Linked DNA regions of Oreochromis niloticus. The protein of the gene in region 1 purifies or fractionates together with the protein of each later gene. This does not show direct contact. Links are inferred from orthologs where the notes say so. Each region holds a gene or a part of one and is shown in the gene's direction. Other genes may lie near its edges.

Region 1 (7,957 bases):
TCATGCACACACCCTACCTCACCTATCTCAACCTGCAGCGCTGCAACATCATTGAGATTAAAGAGGGCGCCTTTCGGACTCTTGGCCGAGTGGTCTCTCTAAACCTGGCTCACAACAAAATTGAAATCCTTTACCAAGTAAGATCAGAGGCCCACAGTTTTTCCTCTCGAGTCTTTATTATGAGAATGATGTTATCTTCTTTTCACTGCTGCAGGAGTCCTTTGACGGTCTCTCCTCCCTGAAAGAGCTGCGTCTGGACCACAATCGCATCGAGGAGATCCAGCCTGGAGCCTTCACACAGCTCGGCTTCCTCAACACACTGGCCCTCACCCACAACCAGCTGGTTTACATCCCTAACATGGTCTTCCAGGTACTCCAAATTATGGGTAAATACTTTAATAATCTTTTTGGATGTGTTTGGTAATGCGATTCCACGACAGTCCTCCTCCTCTTCCTCTTCCTCCTCAAGGGGCTGCAGAACATTAAGTTTCTTCGTCTTAGCCACAACTCTCTGAACAACCTGGCACCTGAGGCGTTTGCTGGGCTCTTCACCCTCAGCCGCCTCGACCTGGATCACAATGAGCTGCAGTTCTTCCCCACACAGACAATGACGAGGTGGGACAACCTGAACGATTATTATGGGACGTATTGATGTGTGTGTTTTAATGTGTGTTTAGTATTGAATCCTCAGCTGCAGCAGCACTGAGAAAGACGTCAAACTACTGACCACAATACATACCATGAGTCAAATTTGTGAGCTTTTAAGTGACAATTTTAAATTGCCATGTCCTTCACCTGTTAAGACTCCGTGAGGTCACACGGCTGCACATGAACCACAACCCCATGGTCTACCTCGGGGAAGATTCAGTTTCCATGGCAAAGCTTACACACCTGTACCTCAGCCACATGTCCCTTCAGGACCTCTCAGACAAGGCCTTCTCTCAAGCCCCCCTCCTCTCACACCTTGACCTCAGCCACAACCATCTCCGGTACCTGGAGCCCCTCTCAGGCCCTAGAGAGCTCACCAGCCTCAACCTGACAGGTAAAGCCTGTGTTCTGATATTTTTTTATTGGACACAGACTTTTACTTTAACATAACAGGCTTTCATTTTTTCCAAACCAGCAGATGTAAGTGATCTGACTTCTCATGTCTCATAGCGAGGCCAAGAAAGAAAGATGTAGGGGGGTGATAGCATACCATGTGTCATTTTTACATGCTGACCAACAGGCATTTCTTACTTTTTCTAAAGGGAACCCCATCTACTGTAACTGCTATATGTCTCCACTGAGGCAGTGGGCAAGAGTTAGTGGTGTGAAGCTGCTGGGAGCCTGCTCTGGACCTCCTCACCTCTCAGATGAGCCTCTGCAGGCGGTGTCTCCTCAGGATCTGCGCTGCAGGAGGGGGAAGTCACCGGTGGAGGATGATGAGGAGGAGGAGAGTACAGAAAGAGTCCCACCCACGGTCACAGCCACTGCCAAGCCAAAGCAGAAGGTCAAGTGTCCAGCTAACTGTGAATGTGATGTAAGTTGGAGACAGAAAACACTTCTGGGACACTTCCATGAACGTTTCAGTTCAACTCCAGCATTTGCTGATCTCTCAACAACGAAAGCAGGAAGAACAAATAAAAACTCCAGTTTCTCATAGATTTGCTGTTTTACCAGACTCTCACTTGGCTCACTTGTACTTACTTACTTCACTAATCCCAGTAGAGCACTTGGCTCTCAGACTGCGGGCTTACTTGTGATTCCTAGGATATTTAAAAGTAGAATGGGAGGCAGAGCCTTCAGCTTTCAGGGCCCTAATCTGTGGGACCACCTTCCAGTTTGAATTCAGGAGGCAGACACCCAGTCTAGTTTAAGCTAGAGAGCTATGCTAAAAGGGTGTTGATAAAGCAGTTAGTTAGGGGTTGGATCAAGTGGCCATGCTTTATAAATAAAATTGAGTTGAAAGCTCTAAAAATCCACTGTAGGAAGATGGGTAACATAGTGGTAGATATTTGGCACACCACAAATAATGCTTCAAAGGCCTTTAAATGAAGGCTAATGCTGTGTGCTACAAGGCAGCTGTTTTACTCATATGTTTATCAGTGTCTCAGAGCACTGTGATATGTCAGTATTATATTAATTAAACCCTCAGAGTACTTCCTCAATGACTGTTTGTTATTTCCACTGAGGCGTTTTGCAGCTATCACATTCAAAATTGATTTTCTCTAGACTGAGACCCAGCATGCCACATGTGAGGGTCGGGGCCATACTAGAATCCCACGAGGCTTCCCCGCCAAGACGCAGCTGCTGGACCTCCACGATAACCACTTCCACTACCTTCCAGCCAACAGCTTCCCAGGAAGCAGCCAACTTGTTTCTCTTCACCTGCAGTCCTGCAAAATCCATGAAATTGAAGGTGGTGCCCTCCAGGGGATGAAAAACCTTTTGTATTTGTATCTTTCTGATAATGACCTCGTGTCCTTGGACCCCAAGGCCTTTGCTGGAGCGCCCAAGCTCACCTACCTCCACCTGGAGAGGAACAAGCTGGCACAGTTCCCTGGATCAGGTCAGTGGATAAGTTACATTAAGTCTGCCTCTCAGTAGATACTATCTGCAAGAAACACTGGAACTAAAACATGGCTGTTCTGTGTCTTTCTTCTAGCTCTGTCACTCTTACCAAGTCTGATTGTGTTACACCTGGAGCAAAATGCCATCTCTAAACTTGAGACCAGCGGGTTACTGTCCTCACTGGGCTCTAAACTTACTGAGTTATATCTGAGCAATAACAACTTAACTTATATTGCCAAGGGTGCTCTTGACTCTGACTCTCTAAGTACCCTTCACCTGGATTCAAATCAGCTGACTGAGGTGCCCACCCACGCTCTGGTTGAGACCCCTAATCTGCAGGAGCTCAACCTCTCTGGAAACTCAGTTCATTGGGTGGGACCAAATGCTTTCCAGCCCTTATCCAAAAGTCTGAAGAGGCTTTACATGGATCATATGGGAATGGAAAAGGTACAAGAGACCCTTTTAAGCTAATATCACAAGTTAGTTTGCAACGTGTTTATGTTTTCTCAGCATTGTCAGTATTTAAACACACGCCAGGCTTCCAATATCTAGTTCAGACATGACTGTACTGACTGTACTGTTTATGTGAGAATATGTGCTGATTATTCACTGCACTGAGGGCTTGTTCAAGATACAGCATTTTCTTTTCAACTCTTTGTATTGCACCACTGTGCAGATCTCCAAGGATGCGCTGCTGGGGCTGGGCTCAGAGCTGCGGACTTTGACTGTGAGAGGAAACCAGCTGGAGGAGTTTCCTGATCTGAGCTCACTCACCGGCCTGGAGACCGTGGACCTGCAGGACAACCCACTGCGTTGTGACTGCTTTCTGCTTCCTCTGCGCAGGTCGGTATAAGATTTACCTGCGATTACAGTTAGAATGAACTGACAGCTTTACTGACTCTGTTGCTTTGTGTCTGTGGCTCAGGTGGATGGAGAATGTTAGTTTGGAGCTGACCGCAACTTGTGGTCACCCTCCTGAGCTCAGAGGTCAGAAGGTCCAGGGCATCCACGTCTTCAAGTCCTGTCCAGAGAACATTTTTCCACAAGAAAAGAAAAGTGCTGCAGATCCAAAAGTGAAGAAATCCAAAGCAGACTCCTTGAAGTCCCGAAAAATCAAAGCACAGACCACAGCTAAAGTCGCCAAACTGCCCAGGAAGCAGCCTCAAAGAAAACCTGGGCCACCAAAAGTAACAAAGAAAAAGAAGATACTGAAATGAGAACATGTAACTCATTTTCCTTTTACTCTTTTTTTTGCAATAAACCTGAGTGTTAAGGAGTTGGGTTTCTTGAAAGCTACATTTTTTTGGTTCTAAATTAAAATGTTGAGCCATGCAAGTTTTTTCTATCCAAGCGAAAAATCAAAGTTAAAAAGTCAGAGGAAACCTGACAGTCACTCAGCCAATCTCTCACCATTCTTGCAGGGATACTTTAATGCGACACTAACAAGGTTTGTTGAGAGGGAATAAAAACGCATTTTTAGAAGAGCCCAACTGCTATGCATATTACAGAAATGTATATTTAGTGGTGCACATACTAATTTACAGAGGCCAAGCGCTGTGTCCGTAGGTGAAATCAGCGAGGCCATGTTATCCCACATTGTCCCTATGTGAGACTGCACAGCAATATCCCACATTGGGATTGAGTGTAGTTTATAGAAGGGAACCAGATGGCTAAAAAAATCTTATCTATGGGTGTATCCATACTGAAAGCCAACAAAACCACAGCTAGTTCTGTGCAGTACTGCAAATTTTGGTATTGATCTGATATCAAGCCAGTGTTCCCTATAGCAATACCAATATTTTTAGCCTATAAGGGCAGCTCATGTAAGGGAGAGCTGTGTGATTTATGAAATGAATCATCAATATGCAAATTCTGAACACATTTTAATAACCACTAAAATCACTGTGATTTAAAAAAAAATTCCCACAATAATTAGTTAACACAACAACAAAACAAATCTTTCAGCTTCTTTAATTGTTTTAAAATTGCTCTTTTTTAGACCTGTCTTTTAAGCGATTTTGGTCAACATCTGTTATTTAAATGTGCTATAGGGATTAAATATTCTAGACGTAACGGTAAATACAAAATCTTTCAGATATTTTCATACGGCATGTCTGAGCTATAGTTTTTCAATTCCAAATTTCAGTGGGCTACAAACTGAACTTAGAATAGAAACAAAGTATTGATCCAATCACGATAGCATCGATGGGAGACCAATTCTAATTCAAAATAGTTGGTAGTGTTAGCAATATTTGTGCTCTAACAATTTACTATAACGAAAAGGAAATGACAGACCCTGGTGTCTGTAATACCCACCTTTATATCGAGCTATAGCTCAAGCATCGTCATGGGGTTCCATGGTGTAATGGTTAGCACTCTGGACTCTGAATCCAGCGATCCGAGTTCAAATCTCGGTGGAACCTAATCATTTTGGATCATAGAGAAGCTTTTCGCTTTGTGTTCATGAAAGTTAAAATTGTTAGCTTTTGAAATAAATATAAGAAAATGACCATCTTCTGTCTTCTTTACGCCGTCAAATATCGATATAATACGCTTTAAAATTTTCTAAAATTCGCCGGCGGAAACTGCCGCTCTTCTTCCGCCTGATTTGGCTCATACGTCATACTCTTCTGTTCAAGATGGCAGCAGCAATGGACGTGGATACACCGAGCGGTACTAACAGCGCAAGCAAGAAACGATTTGAAGTAAAGAAGGTATGGCTGTAAAAAGTCTCTCACTGGGGAGTTACTAAGAAGCTTTCTAATGTGACCAATGGACGCTATCATAGTTCAGTGATGCTGCCGTGTTAGCCCACTGCCTTTAGTATGCTAACTCTAGCATGCTAACTTTAGCGCTAAGTCACTGTGGCATAGCATCAGTTAAGACAGTAGGCTTGTTGCTGTTAGTATCGAACACCCACGAATTTGCACTTCCCATTAAGGGGCTAAGAATAAACACCCACACAGATATCTCTGAATTAATAACAAAGGTGTAATGGGCAGAAACACATCAGCTGTTCAACCGGTACCCCGGCGAAATTAGCTTAGCTACATTTCACACGTAATTTTTGCTCTGTATTTAAAAATAATGTTTACACTTTTGACATGTTTTCGATGCTATTCCTTTCCCAATAAGCTAGACTCAAATGATATATTTAGGGCCCCATGCCTTAAATGAGATCCTAAATCTCTCTATAGAGTTTACAGTAACATCTCAGGCGTATTTCTGGGATGGGGAAGTGAATACGGCCCTCTTACAGACACTCAAGAGATGCTTTTGCTTCTTCTTTTTAAATCAAAAGACATTTGACACTCATAATGAACCAAAGTTAAAATATATTTTTTAAATAAAACACATGTTTATGTCATGTTTGTCATTAAGCTCAAAAAGTGCCCCTCAAGTCACAGCAGTTTGTGCACTGCTGGCCCTCGTGTGGTTCAAATAAAGGGATATAGACATGTTTTAAATTACTTAATCTCCAGATTATGAATCTTAGATCATATATTTGTGTGATTTTATTTTTTCCCCCCTCAGTGGAATGCTGTGGCGCTCTGGGCCTGGGACATTGTGGTGGATAACTGTGCTATCTGTAGGAACCACATCATGGATCTCTGTGAGTTCACTTTGATTATTTTGGTCTTTGATTTCTTTGGTGCACATTTTGACAGTAAATGAGGTTTGCTTATCATTGTAGGTGATATGGTGCTTTTTATGTTGACACATTTCTCTTTTCCCCCCTCACCCATTAGGCATAGAGTGCCAGGCCAACCAAGCTTCTGCAACCTCTGAAGAGTGCACTGTAGCCTGGGGTGTTTGCAACGTAAGTCTCTATACCAACATGTACAGTGTGATCAAAATGGTCTCAGCTCCCCTTTGAAACCATCGCTCTTTGTTTGGATTGCAGTGTGGAAGCAAAATCCTGGTCTGACCGCTTGATTTTCTCTGCTTTCACTCGCTCTCTTTGCTGTGTGTGATTGGCTTTTGTTGCCAATCACACACAGCAAAGAAGATGAAAATGGGTGTCTGAAATTAATTTTTTGGGAACAAAGGAGGAAGTCACAGGAAGTGTGTGTGCTCTGTGCTCCACAGTTGAGTCTTCACAGTCTGACCCTGGTGTCTGTAACACTGACAGTTGTTGAGGCTCCGTTTTTGGCATTCGTACTGCATTCATATTGAAAACATGCAGATTCACAAAATCAGATTAGGACTTCTAAGGCGTGATCTTAAAAAGACGATGACAGGCAAGGACTGTGAGACTTTTGGACAAGCACCTCCTGTAACAATCATCTCTGCTGCCAGGAAGGGCAGATATAGGAATTCATATGTATTGGGCAGAGGTGATCTTCCAGGTGACATATCATTATCGTCATTATTATTAATTTCAGCTGTTGTTACTAAATGATTTCCCAAATATCAGATAAAGTATATTATTTATTTTATTTGTAGATGCTCTTGATTCATATTAACCAAAAATGATCAGCATGTTGATCCATAAAGGTGAGAGGAATCATGTTAAATAAACACAAATTAATATTAGTATAACTTCTGAAGCGATGTTCCCAACATTGATCATAATGAACTTTAATAAGCATTTCCTGCACAAGGCTGTTGTGTTTATAAGAGCTTGATCATGCAGGTTTATATGCAGGAACTATACATGCAATGAACACTATTTAAACGGAAGGTTTTAAAGTTTCCCAAATCCTTAAAAATGGCTTTAAATAATCTGGGATAACTTGATCCTCTGGTCATTTTGTTATTTTAAACCCACATTATCTATTTCTTTGTTTTCCAGTTGTGCCTCAAAGTTTGATTGTTGTCGTGTGGAAGTACAAAGAATTAGAGTATTACCAGTATTGCCAGGTCTCTCTTGGAAATGAGATTTTTACCTGGATAAATAAAGGACTAAAAAGAAATAAAATTACAATACAAGGGAATGGAAATACATGATACTTAAATATTGTTAACCTGAAGTAAAATATCAGTTTTTCACTAGAGAAATTATTTTATGTAGTTTTACCATCCTTTTGTTTCTCTTTCCCAGCATGCTTTCCACTTCCACTGTATTTCTCGCTGGCTGAAGACCAGACAGGTGTGTCCTCTGGACAACAGGGAGTGGGAGTTTCAGAAGTGAGTACCACGCATTACATTGTATACAGTTTTACTGTGTGGTCCAATCACAAGGGTTTAAGGGGTTCCTTGGTTAACAGTGCATTTGATCTTTTGTTGACCTGCAGAGAAAATTGTTTATTCTTTAAAAGTGAAGAGCTGTACTGACAGCACACCCTCTCTGTCATGTTTTCACAGATATGGACACTAGCTGGTTTATCGTTCACCCCTTTGTTGGCTTCTGCAAGCAGCACCCTCACTTTATCCTTGTTCTGACCCGCTTATAGTAACTGTT
Region 2 (7,248 bases), on another chromosome or scaffold:
GAAGATACCATCTGTGCAGTCTGCAATTCTGTTGAAGACAGATGTTGAATCTTTTTAATTATTCTTGAAAAATAATTTATTTCTGTGCATTTTTTTCACCCAGCATCAAATTAAAGTTGATTACATCGATTAAGCATCATGAGGTGGAGGGTGGGGGGTGGTTCCCTATTTTTTTTTGCTGGGAGTTTGCAACCCTATTAGTTAGGTTGCTTAATATTTCTGCTAAGTACTCTTTAAAATACCAGAATAGGGAGGATGGAGTAGGTTTAAGTTTATTAGATTGATCAGTATTGCTGAACTATGAAATATTTTGGGTGCAGTGTATTTTTTACATACAGGTATAACAGAATATCTTTAGTGTTGTTGTTTATTTAAACTTGAGTATGAACTTATACAAAATGCAGCAAGATATTAAAAAAACAGTTTTATTGATTAAAAAACACACTATATCGGATTCATATCGGTATCGGCAGATATCCAAATTTATGATATCGGTATCGGTATCGGACATAAAAAAGTGGTATCGTGCCAGCTCTAATAATGTCAGAGACAAGCAAAGTCTCCATGGTAAACCCAGAGGCCAAAGAAAAATCTGTTAAAATCAAATATTTCAGTGTGCACTACATATGTCCTGACTTACACTGAAAATGAGAGAACAAATGTCTAAATGTACAAAATGATGTATTTTACATAAACAGCGTATAGTTACTTGTAGAAAGAAGAGATGTTGTGTGATATCCTGCACTAGCTCCTCCTCTGCATTTTCAGGGTAAAACTTGGCCAGGAAGTGAAAGATGATGGGTTCTTCTTTTGGCACCTCCTGATCTAGAACCTGCAACAACAAATAAACAACTTTTTTTTTATTGTCATGACTCCTATATCTATATTAACAGCATTTAAATAGCACATCGGGTTTTTTTTAACAATTTAAGTGCAGCAGTCACCTTTTTGTCCATTTTAAGCCATGCAACTGTGTCCTTGATGTTATACCGGAGGCCAAAGAACCATGTCTCTCTCAGTCCAAGAGTTCGGCACACCAAGTCAAAAAGGTCTTTTCCTTTCCACTTGACCTGTAACACAGAAAAAAGATAGGAGGAAATTTTGCATTCATAATATCCTGCATCTTCGTTATCTAGTCATACTGGCATTTCTATTACAACACTGGGTTCCAAGAAGAGAATCATACATGTTCTCCTCATCCTGCTGAGAGCTAAGAGGGAGGCATATCAGGCACACATATCCAATTTAGATTGGCTTTCATCTCTAGCCTCTGAGTTAACTTGGGTTGCAAGCTACTGTCAAGTGCTTCCAAGGCTGGCATGAAAAAAATGCTCTAAGAACTGCAAAAGAATAGGATAAAAAACTCTCCATGCACAAGGAATGGCAACCTTGACCATGCAATACTTCTATTCAATGCTGAAAGAACACTATTTGACCAATACTTATTATGTACTCTCTCTTCAACCCATAATTGATACAATCATCATCCTAGCACAGAAAATAGAAACCTGCAACTCGGATGACGCTGTTATGTGTAATTACTATCTCTAAACTTTAGTGGCGTTCCTCCCTTGTAAAAAAAAACGCATGGTGTTTGCAAGTTATTTTGATGCCTTTCAATTCTCACATATCCCCAGTCATTTGATAAACCCAAAACACCACATAAAGGCCAAAATTACATTTTAAAAAGCAGCATAAATATCTGTTGTATACTCCAAACTGCTAGCAGATAAACTTCAGCAAACCTTATAATGCACTGACTTTTGCCACCAACTATTTCCCTGATCACATTGGTGCAGACGACACAGATAAACATATAACAGATGATTATCTTCTGTAGAACATCACCATAATATCAGCTACAGCTGTTCAGTTCATGGGTCACAGTTGACTGCTGCCATCTAGTGTCGAAAAGTGCTAATTGTTTATCTTAAAAAGGAATGGACACCTGTACCCATTCAGTTGCTGTATCCATTAGATTGTTATCAAGCATTAAGTGCAGTTGCAGAAGCAATACAATGCATAGTAATTGCTAACTAGTCGTTATTAGCTGTACCTGGTGTTGTGGCCACAGTCACTACAATTGTCGAAAAGTCTTGGCTCAAGCTGAATGGATTTAAGATCAGTCTCACCTCGCAGCTGAACTCCAGGTCTGACTCCATTGTTGAGATCCTGACGTTGAAGGTCTTCGCTTGTTTTCTCATCAGCGAGTTAAATCCCATTTTTGCTGCTAAGGCACTTGCCATGGCGAACAGTTCAAAAAACTAACAATTCTATTGTTCAGAGTCGCTCCTACACTTACCTACAAACTGAGTGCACGGTCAAGCCATTTTGTTTAACTTCTTTAACTCTCTGGTGGAAATAGAAGACGAGTCATCCGGCATAGTTGAAAGATAAGCACAGCTGTGCATGTGACTTTCCAGACTTAGTATTAATTGTTCATCTATCGCTGGATGCTCAAACGAGAGTTACATGGGTTTTTAAGACTTTAACTGGCATGTTATTGCTCTATTGTTGTCCCGCAATTACGTATTTATGTTATTTTTTCCCTTTAACTCCTAAAAAGAAAATTATCAATACATTCATCCCAAGCAGATAAATACAGCGTAGTGTCTTAGGCTTGCTACTAGTTAGCTAACTAAGGTTACATATAATATGAACCCTTAAGTGGCAACAACTTTACATAGATCCGTAAGAAATACGATAATGTTCAGATTTATGCGTCTCACCCAAATCATTCCGCCTGGAGACGTCAAAACACTTAACTTGTTACACATGAACTACGCTAAAAAGGAAGCGAAATACCAGCTAACCGCTGCTAACCACTTGTTAGCCATCTCATCCAATGATGCATTCGGGTACCGCCCAAAATGTTGTAATGGCAACGTAGTACATAATAATGGCATTGACATAAAATGCCATTTTATTTAATGGTAGCATCCTATTTATGGCTTAGCCATTATAAATCAATGCTTGAATGCACTTCGCTTTCTTACTCTAAGACAAGCTCACGGGGTTCACTTTGTGGTGATTAGATCCACAACTATTTTGGCGATCAATAAAAAGTTTGTTGTATCTTTTTCATACAAAAATGGCAGACCTAATTGTGTAGTGTCTCAGTTATAAGAAGTAGCTGCTTTGGTCTGTGAAATGGAATCATAATCTGAATATATTTAATTTTAAAGTGCTGGGCAGTAAAATTAATTTACATTTAAATTAAAGAAAAGTAATATCAGCTAATCTTGGGCATTTGAGCAGTGGATTGTTGAAGAACAAATGCAGCTGTTCTAAATACTGGGCAGGGTCTCTGTCCTGTGTGCCCTCTGAAATCAAAACCAGTGACCTTTGGCCTTATGTATCCTAAATAAGATGGGACTTTTACACTTTCTGACACAAACAAAAGTAAGAAAAAATAAACAAACAAAATTTTTTAAAAAATCTGTACAATTTCTGTCATTTTTTACTAGACAGGAATAGTCAACTTTCTCCAACAGATGGATTTAGCTCTACTGACATGTGGACAGACACAGGAAATCCTTTATACTTCATTCGATAACTATCTACCATTTAACTCATTGAATATTATTATTAGTAGTAGTTGTAGTAGTAGTAGTAGTAGAAGTAGTAGTGGAAGAGAGCATGGAGATGTGGGGAGATGGTACTACAAGATGACCTGTTATGATGGATGGGTTGGAGACGGTGGACCAACAAATAGCCAGGAGGCTGAGTTAGAGGTGACAGAGTTCACAATAGTAAGATTTGCAATAGGAATGACCAAAATGGCCTGCATTAGAAATGACTACACCAAATGACTACGCTAAAGGTGAACAGTTTCGAGAATTTAGAGATGCTTGGTTTGGAGTGGTTTGGACTTGTGCAGAGGAGGGACAATGGATGTTATTATTATCGTTATCATTATAATAATAATTATTATTATTATTGTTATTATTATTTACATTTGTAACAAAATAATTTCTCAAAGGGTAAAATGCTGTAGAATAAATAAGTGAGGCCTGTTAATTACATCTGAGATTACTTGCCTATTAAACAAGACTTGTACTTTCAAAAAAAAAAAGTTTCCTTTTCATATTTTTGACTTGCCTGTAGTTTGTTTTGCAAAAAATAAAAATAAAACATAAATAAATAATATAAAATATGTGCAGAATTTCCGATGGTCATGAAGGCAGCACCGGTTTTTGTTTCCTCTTGAGTGAACGTGGCTCCGCCCTCGGCCCGGCCCCCTGCGCCATAAAGGGGCGGCGAAAAGGCAATGAGGTAATCGGGGTAAACAGTAAAGATGGCGACGCCTGTGGATGGAGAGGGACAGCCAAGTCTAAATGGGACTATTCCCGACCCCCAAACAAAAAAACTGACAGACCTGCCGACCGAGTTGCTCGAACACATCCTGTGCTTCCCTGTCCTCAAACATGTCGACATTTGTAACGTCTCCTGTTGCTGCAAGCGGCTACACGACGTTTGTCATGGAAGGGGGAAGGTCTGGGGACACCAGTATAAACTCAGGTGCTGTTTTTTGTGGTATTCTATACTGGCTTTTGGTGGCTTTTATGCTGTCTATAGAAAGGAATCTGACTCTTTTGTTATTTATGCGTAGTTTAGAGCCATTAATCTCTAAATGTCTGCTTTAAGGTGGGTTCGTTTACTGCGAACTCACAGGCAGCTGTCAGCCGTTGACATTCTGCTGATGCACCAAATTCATCATCACGCCATGCCGGTGGCTTCCCCCCTGCAACAACAATGAGGCTTATAAATGTTTACAGCTTTTGCAAGTAGCAATTTATTCTCCATCACACCAAATGAATTCATCCACAATGAATTTGTATGACCTTGAATGTTTGCCTCTGATCTGTAGAAGAGTGAAGCTCTTGGCAAAAGCTAGTTACTGTAAGCCCTCCTCCTGAGTGCCTTGGCTGACAGCTTTGCTCTTCTTTTTTTTAAGCAGAGCAAAAGACACCTCTTCAGCAAGATGATAAACAGTTCTAGAGACTAACATCTAACGCTTGAGGCTGTTAAATCATTCAGAATTTTTATTTGTTTTCCTGTAATAAAAACATTACACTGCCTTCATTAACAGATGGCCAAGACTGCAGAGGTTTTATCGTCAGAATGAGTCCTGTGACTGGCTCAGAGAATACAAAACACGCCATAGAGTTGGGATACAAATACGAAGGACCGTGGAATCGATCTCAAAGAGATTCTTCACAGAAGTTGTGAGTAATCAGTTTCATCAGTGTTGGTTTTTTTCGTTATCTGTTTTACAGTGTTACATTTGACTTTAATAACTTGTGATAGACTGGTAACACGTGGATCGGTAGCAGTTATACATATTTCACTTAAGATACAACAATTAGGGTGATCAAATTAAGTGCATGTTTGTGAGAGATTACGTGGGATACGTCTGAAATTTGTTATATTTCTAAACGCATGCAAACTTTACAGGTTACAAGTCTATTATTTAGCATGGAAAACACAGATATAATGGTGTTTGTTTGGTTTTTCATGCGCACATATTTATGCAAGAAAACCTGGGCTTTCAATGTTCCAAACTAATCTTGAGGTCTGTAACGCAGCCTTGCGTTGGTCAGGTGCTGGGAGACAGCTTTGCAGAAATTGAGTCACTTGGAATGCCTGAGCACTTCTGTGAAGACGAGCTGCTCTTCATACTCAACTCTGACAAGAGGTGAGAGCAGCACTGTGTTTATACTAAAATCTCAGTACTTGAAATTCTTGCTCTGTAGCTCTACACCCACTGACCTCTGTATTAGGTACACATGTTTAGTTGCGCATTAATGCAAGTGTCTAACAAGCCAGTTACAGAAAATCGATGTATTTAGGCATGTAGACATGGTAATGATGACCTAATGAAGTTCATTAGCATCACAACGGGGAAGAACAGTAATTTAAGTGATTTTGAATGGTGCTGGTGTTAGTTAGCAGTTCAGAAAATGCTGAACACCCAGCATCTCAACATGAAACTGGGATCCATCCTGCCTTGTATCAGCAGGTAAGGCTGATGGTTGTCGTGTATTAGTGTGGCTGATATTTTCTTGCACACTTTTAGCCCTTTGAACATGACTGTGAGTTCACAGCACTCAAACGGCTTTCACAGTCACCAGATTTCAGTCTGATAGAGCACCTTTGGGATGTAGTGGAACAGGAGATTCGCATCATGGACGTTCAGCCAATAAATCTGTGTGACGTTACCCTTTCCGAATGGTCCAAAATCAGAGGAATATGTTCAGCACCTTCTTGAATCTATGCCAGGAATCATAAAGGGAGGTCTGAAGGCAATCGGGCGTCCAACCTGTACTAGCAAGGTGTACCTAACAAAGTGGCTGGTGAGTGTACAGTTTGCAGTCACAAATGGGTTTGGGTGTTGATCATGTTAATCCTCTCTAAGACCTCTGTGATTATGATAGCTTTTGTTTTGTTGCATGTGCTCTCCTTTGATCTACCATCTCTCCATTCTTGACTCATTAGGAAAAGCCTGACCCTGAAGTACTATGCAAAGAAAATCCTTTACTTCCTGAGACAGCAAAACATCCTGAAGAGTCTGAAGAATTTCCTGGAGAAGCCCACAGAGCAGCAGTCAGCTCTAGAAGGTGAGGCATCTGTGCCGACAATACAAAGTTATTATACATTTACGTAGACTTATAAATCTCTATTATTTCATTGTGTTAATACTTTATAGCTGCTAATTTTGCTACTAATTATTACAGTATACTGTGCTTAACAAATTATTAGTCATAAAAACAACAACAACAACAAAAAACAGAAATATTTTAGAAATCTTTCAAAAACCTTTTTTAAAACTAAAAATTTCTACCCAAATTTCAGCCGGCAAACTTCTGAGTTCTGAGAAGTCAGACATTGATCAAGGATAACATTCAACTAGTGCTGGGCGATATGACGATATATATCGTGTGGACGATAGAAAAGTGTCTATCGTGCCATTTGTCTTCTATCGTTTCTATCATTTCTAACCCTAATTTTATGAATTATTACATAAAATATATAATTAACCCTTTACAACCGGTCGGAGCAGGCACGCTCCGTTTTGCCTAACTATTTTTAAATCCCTGTAGAACTGGAACCACGTAAGGTAGCGCAATAATTTTTTTTGCATGTGAAACCGGAGGAGTTGTACTTACATCTTATTCCATTAGCTTGCCCTAGGTCACGGTTTCCTTCCACATATAGCTTTGCAAAAATTGCATAAAAAGCACTTCC
Region 3 (7,282 bases), on another chromosome or scaffold:
GAAAGTTGGTGGTTCCTCTGGTGCCTTTCATTGGGGAGATTTGCACATGATGCAGGATTTTAAATAGCAACAATCTTAAGAAAGATTATGTGATTACACACATAGATTTTTTTTTGTTTGTATGGTCCCAAAGTACATTACATTCCTCTTCACTGATGTTTAAATCAAGTTCTTTTTCCCAGACCTGGCTTTTTGAGACCTTTTTGACGTTTTCAGACTTCTCCAGGCCCAGCTATACAAAAGGAGGGTCATTTTTGATCCATTCTGTTATAAACCTGAGATGGGTTGCCAGACCTCCATTTAAACTACAAAGTTGAAGTTTTGATACCTTTAACCTTGTTTTTCTTTTGTTCCATATAAAGTCATATAAGTAATTTTTGAGCCTTGTTTGATATAAGTAAAAGAATTATTTGGAGGGGGTATAGCAATCTTAGCATGTCACTCATCTTAGTTATTGATATTTCTTAAATCTAGCAATTAGAATTTCTGAAATGTATAAAAGGACATCTCCATGTTGAGAATAGTTGAAAGCTGCTTGATCTTAGGCCATTAGTGATGATGAAAGGGTAATGGGTAATGTACAAGAGTTTTAATATATATGTCTCCCAGACCAAATGTATTCAAAACATAAAACAGCCAGTTGACACAATCAAAGGCCTTTTCTGCATCTAATGAAATGATCATACCACATGATGCTGGAACCCTTGTTAAAAAATTGAATTAACAGCTCAGGCCATCAGGCCCTGGTGATTTACTATGGTGATAATAAAATTGCCTAAAAGTATTGTTAATATTTATGTTATTTTAATGTCTATCACCATTCTGATCTGTCTGTCGACCACAGGAAAACAAGCAACAGTCACACAAAGTCGCTTGTCAGAGCACCATGAATGCAAGGTACCCCTACCTAAAAAGTGAAGACAGTCTTCACTGAAAAGCTCCTGCAGGGATCTGACTGTATAATTGGGAATGTGGGTGTCAGCCCATTTTTGATGATGTTCACCTATGAGCTGAATAGAATTGAACTTCACTGGGTAGCCACTGGTCAGGTATTTAAGCCTTGATGTTTATGCAGTTAATGGCCACACCATCCCCTAAGATGGCTGGGTAGAGATCATCTTCACCTTAGGAGGGAATCACAATTCCAGTTTCACCATTCAAGGCCCCTTCCTGGTCAGTCAGCTGTCACTGCAACAGCACCTACTAGCAGCTAATGTGCTTGAAGCGATTATCAAGAGACAAGAACTCTCAGGTGATGCCATTCCCACAGTTGTTAGCCTCCGATGCGATGTCTTTGGAATGGTGAACAAGTGATTCCCATGGTCAGTTTCATCCAGGTACAACAAAGAAAATACTGTGACACAGCTACAGTAAGAGTGGGAAAGGGCAATGCTATCATTCCAGGTTTGGTACAGACTACTGTTTTTGTGTGAACCTGTGGAGCAGGACGATGTCCTAGGACAGCTGAGTTTGAGGGAAGGCCTTCTGGAGTTCGATAACCCTCACCACCCCTATATCATGGTACTGATCTCTAAGCACTTAAAACATGAGATCATGCTACCAAAGAGAAAACTTCTTGGTACAGTTTAGCAGGTCACCAAGGTGACTGAGATGGACATGAGAGAACAGTTAATCTTTTCAGATTAACTTTTTCCCAGTAAACCCCAATAAGGACTCTTGCTTTTCCACCACCTGACATTAGCCATCTGATCCCCGAAAAGCAATAAGTGGTGGAAGAAATGTTTTGTGAAGAGGTCGTGTTTCAGCCCTGTAAATAGAAATCAGACTTAAGGATGATGTGCCGGTCGATAGGGAGGTAAAAGAACATATTCCAGAGTTGTTGGTAAAAAGATGGCTTGTTAAATCTTAGTCACCCTATGGTGCTCCAGGCGTGTGTGAGGGAAAAGGATGGGTCCCTACGCCTCTGTATTGATTATCAGCTCTTGAATAACGAAACAGTGCCAGACCAACCCCAGTTTACTCAGAACCAGGATCTCACTGACTCACTGGAGGGATCCAGCTGGTTTTCCATACTGGACCAGGGAAAAGCCTACCACCAATGTTTCATAGCAGAAGGATCGATGTACTTGACAGCTTTCACAACTCCTTGGGGGCTATATTAGAGGGGCAGGATGCCATTTGTATTATCAAATGCACCAGCGGCATTTCAAAGGTGCATGAAAGGAACACAGAGAGTGGAATATGTAAGTTAATGTAAAAACTTATCATTTCATTGAACATCTGATATTTAATGACAATAAAATGTTTCTTATTCAGAACATGTTAACTGGTATATTAAAATATTTCTTTATTAACTGACAAAAATAATGCCATATCATAAATATCGGAAGTAAATGACGACTATCTCAGAGCTGTAAAGAGACTGTTTTTTATTTGTTTGTTTCTTTTTTTTCTTTTTTCTTTTTTTTAAATAAATGGGTCTAACAGGACACTAATAAAATATTATATAATGCTATAGACTGAATCTTATGGGAGGGTATTGTTGACTCCTCATTCCAACTAAGCAACTGATTATTTGCTACTGATTTTTGGGGTATGGCCACTTCCCATCGTACTTCGCTCCAGTAAATCACATTTGCTAACTAATGCCAATCAGCTGATACAAATGTAATATCAATAGATGATGATATTGTTTGATTTGTCCTAAACCATGTTGGTCATCCGTCACTTGAAACAACCAAGTTGTATTTGTCTATAAATTCCTCCACTACTATACCATTTCTGTCCTTCTTCTTGCTTCCCAACAGCTCATTATGTGCATTTAGGTCTTCAACCCACATTAGAGGGACACCGATTTTATCTGTAATTTCTACAAAATAGTTTTCCTCTAATGTGATGCAGAAATTATATGTACTTACAACAGTAAATTTGCCCCTGTCTGTCCACACTTCTGTTATTATGCACTCAATTATTGCATTCATTTCTAGTCCTTTTCTAATAAAGGTTTTATAGGTTTCACCACCAGAGGTTATCTCCTTATTTTTCCTCTCACATTTGGATCTTGGAATCACAAAACCTAGCCTTGGTTTAAACCAAGTTTCTTGTAATATTAACAATGCAAATAATATTAGGCTTTTAATTATCACCGCTTAGAAAATGTCTAAGCGGTGAAATTCCTATTCATTTGCCATGAGGCTCCTAGCATAACAAACAGCAGTATGCAAATGCTGCTATTGCCATGATCATAACCTCAGTCTCTTTAGAACAAGTCCTCTGTGTCTGTGTCATCCCATCCTAAGTGCTGACTTTGTTTGGTTCTTTGTGTTTCACTGTCCTTAGGATAGGTAATTTGACATATTTCTTCCACATTAATCTCCTTGAATCCTAGCAGCCTAGCTGCCACATATCCATAACTCTGACACTTGAAACATCTCACTGGAGGGCTCTACCCCATCAAAGTGTAACTAATTCATCCCACATTATTTTCCTTGGTAGCATATCCTTCATTAGAGGTGAGGAGTACTGGGGTAGACCTTATACCATTCTCAATTTTATCCATGCGATTAACTGCTATCCTATGGAAGCTTGTTTCCACCACTAAAAAAATATAAATGCTATTCATAATAACTCGAAATTTCGACTTATTTCGAGTTATGGATAGCGGTTTTTTTTAGTGGCGGAATGAAGCTTCCATACATAACTAATACTAAGATTTTCTTTTGGACTACTCGGTTCAATTTTTATATTTGTCCACCAGGTGGTGCTACTTTTTACCATTCAAAGCGTGCAGCAAAATTGAACTTTTTCACTTTTTTTATTCGACTTTTTTCTCAAAACAGTATTTGTACTATTTTCCTCGAAATAGAACTTTAATCTCGAAATTTCGACTTTATTCTCAAAATGATCAATAATATTTTTTTTCTTAACGTGGCGCTATTACTCCGTCGTACTAATACTCCTTTATGTATTCGAGATTATTAAAGAAATTGTATTAAAGAGAATTTTTTTCTTTAAAACAAGGGTTCTGACTCTGGACACACCTACTCGCGCGAAAACCGGAAGTTAGTGAATCTATTTGTTTTGATGCCAGCAGCGTTGTCTTACAGGCAAGTTGCGTCATAAGAGGGAACGCTGAAAATAAAAATGCAAAAATGTTATAAAGTATAAGTATACTGAATATGTTGGCGAAGCTACTAAATATGCGGTGGTATATTGTTAAATGTTGCCCGTTGTTTTGAGGTAAAAACTCTTACTTTGCCTCCTGTAAGATTATACTGAGGGTGACAACGACCACTTTATACAGGGGTAGCGTTTCCATTATATTATAGTTTCATGCTGTCAGAAGGTGCTATCATTTTCCCCTGCTGCATGAAATATCTACACCATGAAACTGTAACGAAGACTACCGCTACGTGTTTTACGTGTAATTCAAAATTAACAAAAACAAGCATTATCGTGGTTGTTAGCTAACCTCAACTGCAAAACTAGCTTTCTTTGGAATCCGTTTAACTTGGTGGTTGCCAGATTAGCTTTCGACAGCTAACTTAGCGATGTGACCTAAGCCGGGAAAGTGTTGATCCGGAAACTCCCCGCAACTCTGGTTGGTGGGCAATTTGAATTTCCAATTACAGTTATAAATCATTTAATAGCATAAACTGTTCTTTAAGTATTTGAGTGTTTCCACTTGTAGCCAGTTTGCTCTAAACAATAACACTGCTACAGAGCTAACGTTAGCTACAAAAGTTGCTAGCTAGTCAGGCTAACTTAGAACGAATGCACAAGCAGGAGCCCATAAAAGTGGCTTCCTTTAAATTTCAATTTTAAATAAGTGAAACATATACCCGAATGTACTTTATTTTACATTCATGTGTCGTTTTCAGGCTCGGAAGGCTTTATGAAGCCTGGCGGAAAGCCTTCTGCAGTTTTGGTTATTAGCTGCCCTGCTACAAATGTATGGCCGGATCTTAAACGCTGTATGAGTGAGGAGATGATGCTGGTTGATCCAGGTCAAATGTCTGAACCAGGGACACTTCTTAAATCATACATTTTGTATTGTTGTTGTTCATGACCTTTCAGGGATTCAGAATTGGCGTCATTCATTCTTCAAGAGATTTAAATGTTAAGGGGTTGGAGGGGCTCAAACGTATTCTTTAAAAAAAAAAGAAGAAAAAAAAAAAAGATTATTGCAATGACTGGAGGGCATCACTTTTTTATCCCAGATGTTGAATCTGTCTCTGTGTATTCTGAGTTTGGTAGTTTTCTCCTGACCAAAGTGATGAGGTCAGACCCTGCATTATTCTTATAGCTCTTGCAGGTCGCTCTCATGTGCCCATGGAGAAGGCAGCATTTGAGGGGTGGCTGGAGTCAGTCTCTGCTACTTTCCTTACTCTAAATGACCAGCAGCGCAACCAGTCTTTGGACCACCTCATATCTTTAAGTGGTGCTGCTCAGCTCCGCCATCTCTCTAATGGACTAGAGACACTGCTGAAACGTGACTTTTTGCGCCTTCTTCCCTTGGAGTTGGCCTTCTACCTGCTGCGCTGGCTGGATCCTCAGACCTTGCTCACCTGCTGCCTAGTCTGCAAACAATGGAACAAGGTAATTCTAAAATTTCCAGACTCCTTGTTTATCTGACTTTACTCAAGGAATGGAATTTCAAAGAAAATAATGCATGCAAACATTCACAGTGAAATCTAATGTCCTCTTTCAGTTTTTGATAAAAGTGCAGCTATTAGCTTTTGAAAGAATTGTTTGGTTTGTAGAAGGTACTTATCTGTTATTATGCTGTCTATAGGTATCCATTTAATCCTCAATAACAACCTAAATCCAAAATTGCAGATATGGCGGTTGTCCAGGCCCAAAGATACAGTCAATAGCTAAACCGAGAAACATATACAGACAGTGATGTTGTTGCACTGATGTATGCCCACATATGTGCTTCACTGACAGTTCCAACTGTGATATGTTCATGTTGTATTTTCAACATAGTCTTTCTTGGTTTACTGTATCCGTGAAAAAGAATAGTGTTTGTTCAGTGCTCTTATGGAATACGCTTGAGATGGACATCATGTCAGCACTCTGGATTGATCTGTTGATGAATCTGTAATACTGTCACATTAGAAGTATAACATGTGGGAGAAAAAGCATACGAGACTGCGTTTTGTGCACTTAACTAATTTTACACATTTATCATGTAGTGTCACTGGTCCAGCCCACTTAACATCAAAGTGGGCTGTATGTGGGGCCAGTGATGTAAAATGCATTTGACATCTGTGTTTTGGTATGACTTTTGTTTGCTTGCATGAAAAGCGAACACATATTTAGACTGCCAAGACTGTATACATTCTCATAGTTAGATGAATATGAACCTTTCCACCAAGTGGCATATATATTATATATATTGGTTGTTTGCATGGACTTTCTGATATGTTTGTGTAAATGTATAGATAATGATTATATGAAGCATGAGCAAAGTGAATTACAGGTGGAAATTTAATTGATTAAATGTGTCATACAGCTTAATTTATGTGACACAGATGGATAATTAAGTTTTTAGGGATGTTTATTATTGATCCACAGAGCCTGACAAAACTTGTTTAACATATCAAATATTCTTACTTTCTTTCTTTTTTTTTCTTTTTTTTGGGGGGGTAGGTGATAAACTCTTGCACTGAGGTGTGGCAGGGTGTGTGTCGGGAGCTAGGCTGGAAGATTGATGAGACCATTCAGGATGCATCACATTGGAAGGGGGTCTACCTGAAGGCTAAGCTGCGTATGATGCAGTTAAAGGATCAAGAAGCCTTTGAGACGTCATCACTTATTGGTCACAGTGCTCGAGTATATGCTCTTTATTACAAGGACGGCCTCCTCTGTACAGGTACCCCATGACTATGTGTTCTGTCTTTATTAGAGTAGCAAAATATCAAATTAGTAGCTCTCAAAAGTCTATGATAGAGTCATGACACAGTGCTGTACAGCTCATCAGTTTTATCCAGAGATATTTCTGTCAACCTCATAATACTAACACTCCTTTTAGATTAACTTCACATCATGTCCTGAGAAATGTACCCATACACACACGAAAAACTGCAGTTTGATAATAGCGTTTAAACAAGTCTATCATCTGACATCTGTATAGACAAAAAGTAAATATAAAACTATTCACTGAGTACACTAAAAGTACTGATATATGATGTGTTTCAAAGGGTTAAAACCATTTCAATTTTCTCTTTAGCGCAATGGTAAGAGAGTTATAGTCATTTAAAGAGTGCTTATAAAATAGATCTGTCACCGGGCCAATGGTTTGGTTTTTTGGTTTTTT
Region 4 (7,209 bases), on another chromosome or scaffold:
GTCAGGCAGCATAAGGAAGGGCTTAGCTAGGAAGTCAGAGAAGTACATTGCTCTCCTCAAGACAGTCACCATTGTATTGGGAGTCTTCATCGCCTGTTGGCTGCCCCTTTTCATTCTCCTCCTGATAGATTTTTCCTGCCCCACCCGCGGATGCCCCGTGCTCTACAAGGCTGAGTACTTCCTGGGAGTAGCCATTATCAACTCGCTCCTCAACCCCATCATCTACACACTGACCAGTAAGGACATGAGGAGAGCCATTCTGAGGCTCCTCTGTCGGCCATGTCTAATGACCTCAGATGGGCAGGTGAAGAAGATTGGGATGCCGTTCCTGGAGTGCAGTTTCAGTAAAACTGAGGTGCCCTCCCAGAAGTTAGAACCGGGTCTGGAGACAACTATTTCATCTGGAAACGTCATCACCACTCCATCTCCAGTTAAAGCCCTATACCCCAAACTTTTCAAGTCATAAAGACTTTGACTGACTGTGTCCAAAATGTGTAAATGGGTTTCCCGCTGAATAGAGGATATGTAGCGCATCCACTATTGAGAGACAGTTCTGTTTTGTTTGTTTTTTTCAAAGAGCCATAAAAAGGGGGCGTATAAAAGACGATGACTCATCTTTGACAGTGTGGCGCAGTTATGGCAATATAACTGAATCACCAAATTTCATTTTGATGAAGCATACCAAACCAGAGAGCAAAGGATGCAATTCAAATGTGAACAAGCAATGTTTTTTATGTATATGATGCTAGCAATACGTCTTCTTTATTAATTTGCACTGACATATGCAACCTTGGACTCAATTTTTTCTGGGCTTCTGTATTTTGTGTGAAGCTTAGAAGGACGCTTCTGTAAACTCAAAGAGTGAAAGACTGAAAACTATGTACTTGCTGGAATAATATGGAGGCTAACGTTTCTCATCTTGCAGTTTCTTAAGTGCCTTAAAGTCAGAATAAAAACTCCTAACAGTTACAGCGTGTAATCTGCAGACACCTGGATTTCGCTGGTTCGAAGACTGATTGTGTGCTAGATTTGCATGGGTAGATGTTTGGTTACCCTACACGTATCTGTGTACGTGATGCAAAGGAATTAAGTTAACAGGAAAAAGGTGGCACCCTTCTTGAAATTGCTGAATGCTGTATGCAAATAAATTATGTGGGAGAGGAGGTGCAGCATTAAAACCCCCTAACAGTTTTGAAATGACAGGTGGTTAACCTATCTGCGGTAGACGTGGAAAGTTGTTGGGGTCGTGTCCAGTTTTTTTGAAATGTCAACCTGACATCTACAGTAAAAACTGCTGCATTTACAAAATGTCATCATACTTAGCATCGGATTAACTGAAAGATAATGTTACAAGTAATGTTTACTTTCCACTGGCTGACAGCTTAACTCCAACTGAAACCAAATCAGCTGCAGTTGCATCACGTCAAGGCTTTACATTCCAGCTTGTGAAGAAGACGACCTTAAAAAGAAGTTCATTCAGCTGCATCACAAGTTTTATGGATAAAAATATTTCTGCCTTTGTAAGTTACAGATCATGCTGAACTGGTATAAATTTACCAAGCAATTGTTTCAGTGCTTCCTTTCATTGTTCATCAAGTTAACAGAACATTTCAGTTAAAGGTACTGAATGATTTTTTTTCTTACGTCATTCAAGACTTTAATTGATTAAATGAGGTTGTGGTTTTTTTTGTACTAAAATGTATGTAGTGAACTTGATGTATTTGTGAGCATATTTTTTATATCTCTATTGTAAATTATATATATTTTGTAACAAGAAAACGTTAGCAAAATTTGTGTTTCTTTTCATAAAAGAAATAAAGTGTTTCTCTAAAACATTCCAATGGGGTTTCAATTTATTTTCACTGTTAGTGCCCTGCAGCATTCTTAAGTGCATCAGTGTGTATTATTGTGTTAGTGTAGCTGTGGTTAAGCAAAGAAGTATCACAGGAAGTCAGCCTCCCTCATCTCACATCTGGTAATGGCATTGACCTATATACATCAACTTTTGCCTGTTTCTGAGTGGCTTAACCTCCACACAATGCCTCTTTTAGTAAATACTTCTTAACCAGTGGTTACAAGTTACTATCACCTCACACTGATCCGGCCTCCACAATGCCAGTCATAGTTAAAATTTAGAGAAATTACACAGCTGTTATGTATCCAGTTAAGCTACAATATATTGGTTGATTTGCAGAAAACAAAAAGAAGCTGCTTTTCAGTTCTTGTTGATTTTTGTTTTGTCAGGCCACCGTTAAAAAAATGTCAATAATGCAAAGCACGTCTAGTGTGACAGACAGCAGATTTTTCCGTGTGATTTTAACTGTCTTTGCCCTAAAGGCATTCTGTAGTCAACCATAACCCCCTCTTCCCGGCATTTGGCAGAGCTGTCCTGTGCTCCACCTTGCTTTTTGCTGCAGCAGACTCAACTGTTAAAAGTTAGAAGTCATGACCAGTGACTTATAAATAGAAGAAGTTGGTAAGTGGTTTTCAGGGTTTTTTTTAAATGTCACACCACTGTTAGAAATAAACTGTCAATAATGCCCAGCACACCAAGTGTAATAGTGTACCCAATGTAACTTTTAATAAACACTGAACACCAAGGTTTTGTTTTGTTTGATTTGTTTTTCCTGTGAACTGGCCCTCCACATCAACTATAGTTAAAATAAAGAAAAATTACACAGCTGTTATGAATCCAGCTAATTTAGCTCCTATAGAAAGAAAACTGTATTCAGTGCCTGCATTTATGTCTAAATTTGTCTTATAATACTGCCAAAGTTACAGTTATGAAGACATGATTTTTAATGCTAACATTCAATTCTGGTAAAGACTGTTGGTTGATTTGCATGAAGCTAAAAGAAGCTGTTAAGTTCTTCACTTATTTTTCACATGTTTTTTTTGTCAGGCCACTGTTAAAAAAATGTCAACAACGCAAAGCATGCTTAGTGTGATAGATAGCAGATATTTTCCTGTGATTTTTACTTTCTGTGGCCTAGAGACATAAGCCCTGCCTCATGGTGCTAGAATACCTCTTATATGATTTGTACAGTGCAGGTGGTCCTCCAGATGTTTGCTTTATCCATGAGAACTGTGCCTCCTGGCAGAGGTCGACAAGTCAGAGAATCTTTCCTGTACTCTGGCTTCTGTTCTGCTATAATGAACTCAACTGTTACAAGTTATGACCATTGATAGTCCCTTGATGCCACAGCCACAAATAAAAAAACTGTACTTTTCCTTGCTCTAGCAGAATTTGGGAAATGACAGAGCTGAGGAACTGGTAGTACAAATGTGGGTGCAGTCTTAACCTACCTTTGTACGATCAGTGTATAGGAAGCATCCATCTAGAAGAGCAGTTTGGTGCCTCAAGGCTTACTTCAGCCTTTTCCTCTGATTGGATCTTTACACAGACACACAGCAGAGTCTTGGGGGAACTCTAAGTGGTGTATGCATCATGACTTGTCATTTCATATCTAGGATTTGCCAGTCCTTTCAACTTTAAGGTGTATAGATGGAATCTTATCATGGGGTGCTTGGTGTAATGGGCTGTGAACTGTGGTTGCAGAGCAACAGGGCTTAAATGTCTTGGTTATATTATGGCAGCTCATTCCACGGGATTAAACTCAAAAGTGAGTGTTTACGCTTGCAGTCTCACAGTTAGCTTTTGGTGCCACCTTTTGGCTTTTAAGCAGAACATCAAATTCTGTGACCTGAATTACGTGTTTTGGAAGAAGGAGGGGGAAAACCCCCTTAGTGGTGTGTCAGCACTGCAAACAGATTCCTCCCAAGCTCCTGTGCTATGTAGGAGTCATTCATGTTTTAAGGCAGAACTGCAGTAACATTATAACCATGTCTCTAGAGCACACACCATTATGTCTGAGCAACATAGTGATCGTTAAACAATGCCAGTTTAGTAATTTCCTGCTGGCGTTTCAACAATTACTCACACAGTTTTAAAGCAGTGTTACTGCATTATTGCAGTTATTTTCTCATAATTAGATCCCATTTTAAGTTGCTAGAAGAAGTACCTGTTTTGCAGTTTTATCCTTTATATGGTATTTGTGTCAAATTTTGATTGACGTTAAAGCTGCAGTTTTTGGCTCCCTGCCAAAAATTGGCCCAGCTTTTCCTTCGTTTTAAGAATTCCTTCTCAATAAAAGCCCCCTCCCACGGGACACGTTTGTCTGCCATTAGTAATAAACAGAGGCGGGCCAACGCTTTAGTGGCGAGCTCTTATTGTGAAGGCGAGATGAGGCCGGTACAATGCTTAGTCACGCTGAGTTACAGCTTTCTCCTCCTTTCTGTGTGGTTCGCAGCTCGGCAGACCGCGATGGAGGAATTGTTCTAGACTACGGTAATTCTCTGTTATTCCAAATTTAAGGAGCCATTAGTGATTAATGTCAGTTGTTTGGACATGTTTAGATTTTGTGCGGGTGTGTTAGCAAGAATATATTTTGATACCGCTTTGTTAGCACGTTTGTTGCGAGGTCGGCTCACAGCCGTTACTCTGCTGTCTATTATTAGGAGCCTATTTTGCTGTCAGCTCTGTTTCCGAAACGTTTGACTTGTTGTTTTGAGGGGGATTACGGCTCTTTCATCGTGAGACCTTCTGAGTTCACCGTCTTTGCAAACCCACCAGAAACCTTTAGCAGCCGATTTTGCTTGCTCTGTTCTACCTTTGCATGCCAGGTCTGTGGATTATTTATTTATTTTTTTGACAAACGCAAGCTCAGAAATGGTCCTCGTAGAGGACACACGATGGCTTTTTGTGTGCTCTTCATGTCAGGTAAATGGCGCGGAAATCCAAGTCCATCATGGTTTATGTAAGGGACTGGCTTCACTTCTGGGTCATGTTTTGGTACATCCAGTTCCACTGTTTGCTCGGTGAAGAGTTCACGATGAGTCACCGAGGAAAGCTGGTTGCCAAAATGCCCGAGAAACGCGCTGGACTCTGTACTTGTGTTTGTTTCACTCCTGTCTCGATGGCGTTTGCTGGCTCTGTAGTACAAAACAAAATAAAAATCGCTGACACAGCTGTAGGTGTAGCTCAGATCAAACTGTTAAACTTGTAGAGTCCCTCCAGTTGTTGTAAGACACCCAAGACCTGTAGGTAGGCCTGAAGGGTGGCACGCAAACCGACGTGCAGGGTCTCTGTCAGGGGTGAGTGTGCATCTTTATGACTGTGGCTATTGATGAGCCAACTTTCTTGTCAAGATTAGGGTCGCAGTGGAAGATTTTTTTTTAGCAGCATCAGCATAAATCGCTGGTTTATCGTTCACGTTCATCTTTTAAAGATGCATACTGCATATTTTCAGTTTCCTTTTTGAGCTCGTCCTTTTGTAAGGATTTACTGCTGCCAACTCCTTGAAACTTCCTTGTTTAGTGTCACCGTTGAGTGACAGTTTAATTTCACTTCTACAACCTGTAATGAACAAGTTTTCTCATGCTAGAGGAGGAAAACCCTGCAGATGTTTGCTAGGAGTCGTTGACTTATGGCATGTAAAATTTCAGGATCTCCCACATGCGTAGGTTATAAAATGTCTTAATAAATGCTATCACAATACATGCAGTGTTTGTCAGCTGATTCATCCATTGATTGATTCAACAACAGATACTATCTTTAGAGTGGCTTGGACCCAGTTATACCTGTCGCATTCATCATACCTAAAAACATGTTTTTATTATTGATGAAATGTCAGAGAAATGCAGCAGGTAGAGCGTGGGACTTGGAGAGCTTGTTTGTCAGTGAGTCGTTTCTGTCTGCTGTGGAAAGTGGGCGAGTTGAGCAATATGTTCTCCTGTGAAACTATTTCACCCAGAATCCTGGAAGGGGGGAGGCACAGCAGTAAATGTGAATCGCAGAGTGTTTCATGTTACAGCGAGCTTAACTGGCTGACTTCCTCATGACGAGTTCCATCATGGCCACTGACGTGTCCCCATCTGTTGGTAAAATGAATAACACTCAAACTTAGTTTGTTTTTTGTTTTTTTTTTCCCCTTAATCTTTAATGATTGCAAAGAACACTGTAACCTACTTGCAGATTGGAAAGCTACAAGGCCATATAAACTGGCCTTTTGCTTTGCGTCCTTTTATCAATGCTTCACATAACGATCAGTGTGCGTGTGGGTGTGTATACACAACTTACAGGTGCTTTGTTATATAACTGAACCCTCACAGCAGCATTGTTGCTGAGTAATTCAGACCCTTCCTGATCAGAGCGCTCCAAACGGACATTAACCACATGTTTCTTGTATTGTACGTCACTGTTGCAGGCAGTTCATATTCTGAAAAGAAGAAGTGGGATTCGAATGAAAAGGAAGGCATTAAATTTTCAACTTAATGGGTTCAACGTAGTGGCTCTGATCCCACATATTCCCTGTAGAAGTATTTGTTTGTAAGCCAGTCTGCAGAGCCAGAGCCCTCTCCTCCTCCTGGATTACTCCGATAAAAGTACCTCTTGACTCTGATTAAAAGATTGTTTTGTTTCTTAGCCTAATTTGGTTTAAACATGTCTGGAAGATGCTGCAATGGATGTACTTGGATTCTGCTGTTGGTTGAACAAACTGTTCCCTCTGTTCAAGCCCCCAGTGGATTGGCAACAGGGCATAGCAAGAGCACACTTAGTCATGCTGGCCTGTTAAATTAAAGCCTAATTTAAGTCACAGCGTTGTCCTTCAAAATGAGCAGCACTCCCTTGCTGCTGCTTACACACTTAGTTACTTGCTGTTTTGCTTATATTGTTAGGCTCTCTAGGTGGACATTTTTTACTTTTAAAAGTAGTGAAAGTAATAAGTAGGATTGCAGGCACTTGAGTTCCTCACCAACAGTTTTTCTTTGCGTGTTTGGAGTTTTAACGCTAACTCAATCAATATTCACTTCACCCTGTCTTTTATCAGCTGTGCACACTACCTGTGTGTGAAGACATGCCAGATAAGGAGAAACTATCATGACTGTGAAAGATGGGACTGTAAATCGACTCTGTCTTCATCAGGGAAGCTGGACTGCTTCAGTGATCCTTCTTTGATACTGAGTTTGCATCTGCCCTACTGAAGAGCACCTGTTAGATAAGCCCTTACAGCCATGTAGTACTTCCTTTGTTTTTTAAATTGTCTTGGATTGCACACAGAATTAGTAAAGCAATGTTTAAGTCAAGCCTGATAAATGAATGATTTCCCGGCTATTTCTCGTTGCTCAAATACAGCGTATTAAATAAAC

What was found.
Region 2: the proteins of rbx1 (region 1) and fbxo21 purify together in Homo sapiens (affinity purification with mass spectrometry; 3 studies listed by BioGRID and IntAct, with this or other methods). This does not show direct contact. The link is inferred for Oreochromis niloticus from reciprocal best matches to the Homo sapiens genes RBX1 and FBXO21.
Region 3: the proteins of rbx1 (region 1) and fbxw2 purify together in Homo sapiens (affinity purification with western blotting; 3 studies listed by BioGRID and IntAct, with this or other methods). This does not show direct contact. The link is inferred for Oreochromis niloticus from reciprocal best matches to the Homo sapiens genes RBX1 and FBXW2.
Region 4: the proteins of rbx1 (region 1) and keap1b purify together in Homo sapiens (affinity purification with western blotting; 6 studies listed by BioGRID). This does not show direct contact. The link is inferred for Oreochromis niloticus from reciprocal best matches to the Homo sapiens genes RBX1 and KEAP1.

Annotation. Positions count from the first base shown.
Region 1 is NC_031969.2:9,352,164-9,360,120, forward strand, and holds the start of rbx1 (E3 ubiquitin-protein ligase RBX1), read left to right. Parts: upstream 1-4,950; 5' UTR 4,951-5,192; coding exon 5,193-5,267; intron 5,268-6,087; coding exon 6,088-6,166; intron 6,167-6,302; coding exon 6,303-6,373; intron 6,374-7,597; coding exon 7,598-7,683; intron 7,684-7,860; coding exon 7,861-7,873; 3' UTR 7,874-7,957. Other genes in the region: chadla (chondroadherin-like protein), read left to right, coding at 1-137, 215-370, 470-615, 804-1,042, 1,251-1,522, 2,215-2,551, 2,648-3,000, 3,230-3,396 and 1 more. UniProt on the Homo sapiens protein: E3 ubiquitin ligase component of multiple cullin-RING-based E3 ubiquitin-protein ligase (CRLs) complexes which mediate the ubiquitination and subsequent proteasomal degradation of target proteins, including proteins involved in cell cycle progression, signal transduction, transcription and transcription-coupled nucleotide excision repair.
Region 2 is NC_031977.2:29,805,393-29,812,640, forward strand, and holds the start of fbxo21 (F-box only protein 21), read left to right. Parts: upstream 1-4,242; 5' UTR 4,243-4,297; coding exon 4,298-4,521; intron 4,522-5,092; coding exon 5,093-5,228; intron 5,229-5,588; coding exon 5,589-5,698; intron 5,699-6,498; coding exon 6,499-6,620; intron 6,621-7,248. Other genes in the region: nf2a (merlin), read right to left, coding at 710-832, 945-1,070, 2,133-2,246. UniProt on the Homo sapiens protein: Substrate-recognition component of the SCF (SKP1-CUL1-F-box protein)-type E3 ubiquitin ligase complex.
Region 3 is NC_031972.2:10,100,841-10,108,122, forward strand, and holds the start of fbxw2 (F-box/WD repeat-containing protein 2), read left to right. Parts: upstream 1-4,262; 5' UTR 4,263-4,561; intron 4,562-5,266; 5' UTR 5,267-5,292; coding exon 5,293-5,559; intron 5,560-6,615; coding exon 6,616-6,838; intron 6,839-7,282. UniProt on the Homo sapiens protein: Substrate-recognition component of the SCF (SKP1-CUL1-F-box protein)-type E3 ubiquitin ligase complex.
Region 4 is NC_031971.2:24,647,363-24,654,571, reverse strand, and holds the start of keap1b (kelch-like ECH-associated protein 1B), read left to right. Parts: upstream 1-4,203; 5' UTR 4,204-4,348; intron 4,349-7,209. Other genes in the region: s1pr5b (sphingosine 1-phosphate receptor 5b), read left to right, coding at 1-466. UniProt on the Homo sapiens protein: Substrate-specific adapter of a BCR (BTB-CUL3-RBX1) E3 ubiquitin ligase complex that regulates the response to oxidative stress by targeting NFE2L2/NRF2 for ubiquitination.